Oryctolagus cuniculus: one gene and its partner. Each later gene encodes a partner of the first gene's protein in a complex. Links are inferred from orthologs where the notes say so. Each region holds a gene or a part of one and is shown on either strand. Other genes may lie near its edges.

Region 1 (3,560 bases):
ACTTCTGAAAGGAAAAATTAGAGACACTCCTACTTCATGTAATAGTCACCTGAAACGTAACACATGAAATACACATGAAATAGTATCAGTCTCAACTGTTAAATGGTACAGGCCCGATACTTATGTTATTGAGATTCTTTATTTTTATTTTTCATTGGCCCTAAATGCTTATAAAAATGAAGGCTCTGGGCTTTCCACTTCTTGGCATTCAGAAAATATATCAAGAAATTCCTGTATCCCAACACCTAAATACGGCACAGGTGCTGTTGTGTAAGGGGACGCAGGGTGGATGCTTGCATAAAAGTATTCACCATTTTTTCTGTATTTTTCTATAATAGTCACATCACAGTTCAATTTCACAGGACCCAGCTGCATCTGGAAGAATGTTGAAAAGCAAAACACCAAGTGTCTGCTTGGAGCTTGGAAGAGTTAAAAGAAAATGGCATAGCAGGTAGGGCTGCTGCTTGCCAGGCCGGCATCCCATGTGGGTGCCAGTTCGGGTCCCAGCTGCTCCACTTCCGATCCAGCTCTCCGCTATGGCCTGGGAAAGCAGCAGAAGATGGCCAAGTCCTTGGGCCCCTGCACCTGTGTGGGAGACCTGAAAGAAACTCCTGGCTCCTGGCTTCGGATCTGCTCAGTTCTGGCCGTTGCGGCCATTTGGGGAGTGAGCCAGTGGATGGAAGACCTCTCTTTCTGTCTCTCTCTCTGCCTCTCCCTCTTTATAGCTCTGACTTTCAAGTAAATAAATTAAAAAAAAAAAAAAAAAAGACAATGGCTTGGACAGCCACCGCCTGGGTATGGACTTGGCCTTGAGGGTCAGGGAAGTCTCCGCTACTTCCTCAGTGGTGGCAGCTGGCTCACAGCTGTAGGCTCCATCCCTATGCTTAGTGTTCTAAAATCATGGCCAACTGGGTCTCTGCTCAGCTCTAGAGCTGCCTGCCACTACCCACCACCCCGCGTGTCTCAGGCTCTCGCGCCCTCCTCATGGTCCACGGCGCAGGTGCTAACCTTCGCCCATCAGCCCCACATTCAGCCATCAGTCCCTCGGATGGCGTCTCTCCCCGCTGCTGGTTTCCAGCCTGAATCCACCGTGTCTCCCCTAGACCAGCAGAGGGGCTCTTTGTGCACCCTCCAGAGCCGAACGGTGGCTTCTCCAGGCATTGGTAGTTTACGAAACAGCTACGCACACACCACCAGCACGCCCACCAAGGTGACAGCCTGGGGCGCCTGGTGGCCCCTGCCACCTCCCCACACAGGCACTCAGCACTCTTGCCCTGGGAGCAGCCCTCCCTTCCTCCCCCTGCCCAGCCCAGAGGGCACTGCCCTCCGCACCCCTTCTTCCCTTTCTCCCAACAACCATGATGTTTAATTACAGAGTTGCGGTTTAACTTAGTTTTTGTTTGCTTCCTCCTTAGAGTCTGTTAATTCCACAAAGCAAGGACTGTGTGGGATCTGCCTATATGCTATGAGGTTCCTTGCACTGCTCATGCTCACGCTAATGTGACAATGCCAGTGCAAGCAACACTGGCGGGGTGGCCCCCGCTCCACGGGCTCTGCATGCACCCCCGTCGTTAACCCGCACAGCACCCTCGGGGGCAGGCCTTACTGCTTGCCCATTTTACAGATGAGGAAAGTAAGGCACGGAGGTCCTAAAATCCTCCCCAAGGGCCAGGTCCTGAAAGGTGGCTGAGCCAGCAGCGGCTTGCCTGTGGGTACAGCGAGGCGAACGCCCTCCGCACATACCTTTTCTCATTCCACCAAAGGGGTCCTTGTTGGGCTCATAGGGCATCCTGCCCATCATGTCTGGCATGCTCACGCCCTGCTGGTACGGCGCGTTCGGCGTCACGGAGTTCCGTTTGGGGAAGGACGAATCACCCACATCTGAGAACGGGTCGTGCACGCTGATTGTACTGCTTCTGAAGAGATGTGAGAATGGCGGTTAATGACACGGCACAGTGTCCACACAGTAAAACAGTCTCGAGATCTACAAACGAGAAACCATCCACACTACAGCATCGTCCATAGACTCTAGGGAGAAGGCATCTCCTCCTTCTAGGACGTTGGTGCCAGAAAATGAAAAGACTAACCAATCCTGATTTTGCGTGGCCCACGGGGTTGTGAGGACGTACCTTCCACCTTGCATCGGGGTCATCTGTCCGTGAGGGGTGGAGGCTGGGGTCGGGGGCTTCAGGTCACCTGGAACCTCCGCCATGGAATTGCTGCCGGTTGACTGGGGGGTCTGCGGGCCTTGCAAGGATCCTGAGTTAGCTGATGGTGGTTGCACCGAGGGAAAATGGGGAAAACACTGGAGGTTACCAAGTAAGCTCCTGTTTGCTAGCGATGGTACAGAGAACCTGAACTGAGACGCCACTCTACTGGAAAGAGTAACAGCACCCAGTGTGTGTGAAGTCAGTGTCCTCACACTGGTTCTGGTGAGAACCGCTCAGACCCCTGGCAGCAAACCATTCGGTAATGCGCTCCATCTGTGAGCCTCAAAACCATTTCAGCCTCAGGCTGGGTAACTGTTTTCCTGTGTATTCATCCCAAGACAATAATCTAACAGAAGGAAGGCTTTGGGCATAAGAATGTTGATTTCAGTGCTGTCTATAATGGAGATAATCTAAAAGTAAATATAGAAAATTGGGATAAAAAATGTCGGTGCTATTTTAGGAAAAAATTAGAAGACAGAGTTCTGGGTCTTGGATAATGAGAAATGTTTAAGCTGAAAAACAATGACGCAGATGGATCACAACGTGCCTCAGGTCATTCTGTCAGCGTCTCAGGATCCAGACGTGTCTACACTTGGTCATTCACAACAGTCGTCTCCTGAGCTACAACATCAGGTTGTTGGAAAAGCCTAAGACATCCCAGGGTACATGGAGAAGCTTGTGGTAAACCAGCATTAAAAATAGGCTTGTTTTGGTACAAAGAATTTTTGAAATCCACACATAGCTTTCTCAAACTATGCATTTCCCACTTTCAAAGACCTATATACTGATTAAAGTCCTCCAATGTCGCCGGAGTTCAGAGATTTGGTTTTCACTACAATTACATCATAATAGAAGAGCTCAGAATTGAGAACGCTTTCTTAGCAAGTAGAAGTCCGGAAAAAATTAATTAACCGCACCTTGTAGGAAAAAGCACTTTACGAGCGCCTGTTTTATGATCTAGCCTAGCTGTTAGCGCGTTAGCTGTTCAGCAGATACCGGCTTCGTTTATTCATTAAACAAACGGCAGGTGCAGGGCTGCCCGTCTGCCACACCGGGTCACACGTTAGTCCTGGTGCTTCCTTGCCTGGGAGTCCCCAAGACTCGCCACAGCTCCCCTGGCTCCCCTCGTACTGTGGGGCAAACGCAGCACAGTCCGTCACCAGAGGTTTCGGAGCAACCCGCGAGGGAGTCGGGAACCAAAGCGAGGACAACACTTCCACCGGGGAAGCCTTGGTCAAACCGATCATCTCTGGCCACGTTAGGGCTGCCTGGTCCCTGGCAGGGCCTGATGGTGCATGGGGCCCTGGGTCGTGCACAGTGACCCAGAGAAACTCGCAGAGATGCAGAACT
Region 2 (4,073 bases), on another chromosome or scaffold:
CCCCGCCCAGAACCCCAAAGGCAGAGGTCAAACCAGAACAGGTCCTGGGACCCCCGCCCAGGCCGTCCCCCGTGTCTTCCTCCCATCCTTTAATGCTTTCATATTGGAAAAGCAATTCCACAGCCGCCCCTCAAGCCCCTCTCCCTTCAGGCGCTCCCCCATTAGGCTCCTGAATTGCACTCTCTCCTATTCGCAGGGGAAGCCCCGGTATCAGCTGTCCCCAGCTCTGCAGGGACGCCCCCATAGGCCCCTGTTCCTGCTGGCTCGTCCCAGAGGGGCGCTAAGGGCGGCTAAGAATAAGGCCCACCCCGTGCCCAAGTGAGTACCATTCGGGGGGTGTCCATTTGTTCATTCTCCCACCAGGGGCCTACGACAGTACCCAAGGGTGTTCACAGCCCAGGAAGGGGCCACTCACTCCAGACGGTGAGCAAAGAGCCCCAACGACTTGGGGGGTAAGGGCCCTGGCTGGAGCAGGCCAGAGGGCTGCCGCGGTGCCCATGTCACGGGCATCGAGCTGGGCTCCAGACCCTCAGCGGTGACCGGCACTGCAAAGCTGACACACCTTCCTAAGGGCCAGATGGAAAGGCCTGGGGGTACAAGGGAAGGATTGTTGGGGGGGGGGGGGGGGGCACTGCAAGAGGGCCTCCCGAGGGCACGGCTGAGCTGCATCCCAAACGGCACAGGAGTCTACGCAGCCGGCGAAGGCGGATCTGGGGCAGAGCCCAGCAGCAGGCACCCTCGGCGCTGCAAGGCCACACCAGGGCCCTCGCTCGGAAACCTGTGGCCAGCCAAAGCCCGTGCTGCTTCCCTCCAGGCCGAGTCCTCCGCGCCCGCGTCGTCCGCTCTGAGAAGCACGGGGAACACTCGTCCTGCCGCCCAGCGACGCGAGGGGAAGCGGGAGACCCGGCGCCGGGGGTCCCGCGGGGGCGGCCGCGGCCGGAGCCCGAGGCGCGCGCGGCCTCCCCCTGCAGCGGCTCCTGCGTCTCCCGGCCTCACGCGCGGAAGCCGAGGCCGCGGGCCTCGCCACCACGCCCTCGGGCAGGGCTCGGCACCTCCCGCCGCCGCCGCCGCTCGGACCCCTCACCGCCGCGGGAACCGGGCCTATCGCGATCGGGCCACCTCCGCCTTCCTCGCCGTGACGAATCGGCGCCCGACTGGGAAAGCATCCAAATCCAAGGAGCTTTGTGGAACGTACGGGGCCTGGAAAAAAATCCTTGGCTGTACTAAGCGTCGCCGCGTCCTCGGGAGCGGGTTTATTTTTTTTCCGAAGACAGTCGGTGGGGCCTGAGAAGAAATTGAGAAAAAGTGTGGAAAGTGCGAGCGCGGAAGCTCCGGACGTGAGGGGCGGGGCGTGCGCGGGACAAAGGGAAGCGAAGCCGGAGCTGCGGGCGCTTTTTCTGCCCGCGGGTGAGTGTTTCCTAGTGGGTCCGACCTGGTCTGGAGGGTGGCAGGTCGCGGTGCCTCCGTTCGGCGGGACCCCGGGTCCCCGGGGGTTGCTGGGGGTCAGGCTTGGCTGCGGGGCCGGAGCCGAGAGCCGGTGAGGCCTCCTTGAGGCCTAGCGGAGCGCGCGTGGGGAGGGAGTCCTCACGGGGGGCCCTCCTCAGGGGCAGGATGGCCCCTTCCGGCCACCCCGAACCCGGTCAGGGCGCCCACGCATACCCCGGTTTGGGGGAATTACTGGTAAAGTGCATCCCCCGCGGCAGGCGTGGAGGAAGCGACCTCCGAGGCAGCCCTGAGGGGCGAGGCGAGCCCAGGGCCCTCAGCCCCGGAAGGGACCCCCGGCCCGGGGCCCTGGCCCCGAGGACCCGCGGGGCCGGCTTGGCGTGAGCGGACTTGGCCTGGGTGCGGACCCCAGCTCCTGCCGCTTCCTAGCGGCGTGGTTTCGAAGAGTTACTTTGAAGTCTGCAAGACTCCCCTTTCTGATCTGTAAAATGGGACAGCAGGGTTGCTCTCCTAAGCCTGTCCTGCCTTATTCCACAAATGCTTGCCGAGCGTCTGTGTAGGGCCAGGCCGCAGGGAGGGCGTCAGGGGGTGCACAGGGGCCCTGGCCCGCTCTGAGAGCCTGCGTTCCGCCGGGGGCGAGCAGTGTCTGTGAGTGTATCTTAGCGTGAAGCGCCCAGTGCAGGGAGCTGCTGGCTGTCCCGTCAGGGCTCCACACCGCAAGGCCTCCTGGATGCTGACAGCTCGCCGGCTGAGCAGCAAGGAAATTTGCAACAAAGTCAGAGGTTCCCGCCGGGCTTTAAAGGCAGAGGGGGAAAGCACCCTGGGCTCCGACCTGCACCCTGGTGCTGCAGGTAGCTCCTGCTTATCTCCCGTGAGGCTGGATGAAGGCGCTCCAGGATAGGAGTTTGTCTTCTTTCCAAAACACGGATTTTTTTTTTAAACCCCTCGGGACTGTTGATGTGAAGGACAAGCTCTGGCCCTACTGTGAGCAGGGAACCCTAGGACAACGTCTATCAGGAATCGCACTAGAGACTGGGATACGGTGACGAGAGCAGCACCCAGTCCAGCCATATTGGCAGATGTTTTGAAAAGCTACAGTAAGCAGTATCCTAGCTCTGCATGGGAGTGCAGATGAGGGAACAGTGAATTCAATGTATTTCCAGCGAGTCCGAAGCTATCTGCCGCTTTAAAAGAATGTGAAACGCATTTAGTATACCTGTTACCTTTTCCGCTGCCTTCGGGAATACAGAGCTGCCCTGTTCGAACAGAGGTTGCTAGACCAGAAGCCAGGTGGAACTGACCGGGCGCTGGCAGCATCCAGCAGGCCTTGTTGGTGTGGACAGGTGGCACAGCACAGTGTGTGACCACTGCCTTCCCAATTACCAAGTGTTCACCGTGCGAGAGGTGGGGCAGCTTAGGACAGAACCTGAGAGTATATTTCTGATACTTAAATATCCCAGGAACTTACTCGAGTCATTTAATTCTGATGACCCAGATGACCTACAAGGACTAGTAAAATACGCGCAAGGCTTGAGTACTGAGAGATAATGTAGTTTTACTCAAAAGTACCAATCAAACTGCCCTCTTTAGGGAAACATTCTCATGCTTGCTGAGTTTTGATTCTCTTTTTTTTTCCTTTTTTTCCTTTTTTTTATTTTAGTGTCTCAGATTCATTCTTAAGGAACTGAGAACTTAATCTTCCAAAATGTCAAGTAAGTTTCAATTTTTATATTTATCAATCTATGTTAATAAGAGACTAATGCCCTAGCAAGTGGGAATTCCAAAATACTCTCATTTTTTTCTTCAAAACAGGACCATTGGTAGTTTTGTTGCATAGTATTATATCTCAGTTGTTTACAAGAAGTTATTTATTTTCTTTCAAACAGAAAGACCATCTTATGCCCCACCTCCCACCCCAGCTCCTGCAACAGTAAGTTTTAATTTTCTTGTTAATGTAATAGCCGAGTCTGGCCTTGATACAAAAACCCAGATGTCTTCCAGTGACAGTCACTCAATCATCACAGTAACAGGATGAAAATTCAGCTAAAAAACAGACTTCCTTCTAAATAAAATAACTCTTTGCCTCTGATCTTGAACCAGCCCCAACATTTAAAGAAACATACTATGAAATTCCTACCTCCTATGCTGAATTTACTTGTTTTATTTTTTTTTTTTCTTAATGGGAAATAGTTAACAAGTTTAACACTTCTTTCTCAGAGTCTTTAAGTTGATATTGAGTGAGTGCTCATTCTGGCTTTTTTTTTTTTAAACCTAACCTTCAGCTGGTTACATTTTTCTCTCCTTTCTTGTCTCTATATATAAAATTTCCATATTAAATCAAACAAAGCTCCTACTTCTATAACTACACTCATTGTAAATCTTTATTTTCAAGCTGTTCAAGTGAGGATTTCATTATCTGTGGGTCAGATTTTGCTATGAAATTTGACTCCACGCTGTAATTAGATTTGATTGGCTTGGGAATTGAGAATGTTTCAAAGTATCTGCCTGATAGCGGTGAACCGGCTTCTTCACCCAGCAAGCTCTGACCCAGCTTGGTCAGCATGTAAAATAGTTGCCCAACCCATGAAACAGATTCCACAGCAACTGTTAGGCCTCCCTGAAATGGCTTC

Evidence for each region. Proteins that work in one complex are often made in the same cells at the same time.
Region 2: ARID1B (region 1) and SMARCE1 share a complex: the UniProt entries of both Homo sapiens proteins name them as parts of the neuron-specific chromatin remodeling complex. The link is inferred for Oryctolagus cuniculus from reciprocal best matches to the Homo sapiens genes ARID1B and SMARCE1.

Annotation. Positions count from the first base shown.
Region 1 is NC_091436.1:10,408,819-10,412,378, forward strand, and holds part of ARID1B (AT-rich interactive domain-containing protein 1B), read right to left. Parts: intron 2,269-3,560; coding exon 2,130-2,268; intron 1,917-2,129; coding exon 1,744-1,916; intron 1-1,743. UniProt on the Homo sapiens protein: Involved in transcriptional activation and repression of select genes by chromatin remodeling (alteration of DNA-nucleosome topology).
Region 2 is NC_091448.1:21,886,024-21,890,096, forward strand, and holds the start of SMARCE1 (SWI/SNF-related matrix-associated actin-dependent regulator of chromatin subfamily E member 1), read left to right. Parts: upstream 1-1,268; 5' UTR 1,269-1,407; intron 1,408-3,103; 5' UTR 3,104-3,148; coding exon 3,149-3,155; intron 3,156-3,329; coding exon 3,330-3,373; intron 3,374-4,073. UniProt on the Homo sapiens protein: Involved in transcriptional activation and repression of select genes by chromatin remodeling (alteration of DNA-nucleosome topology).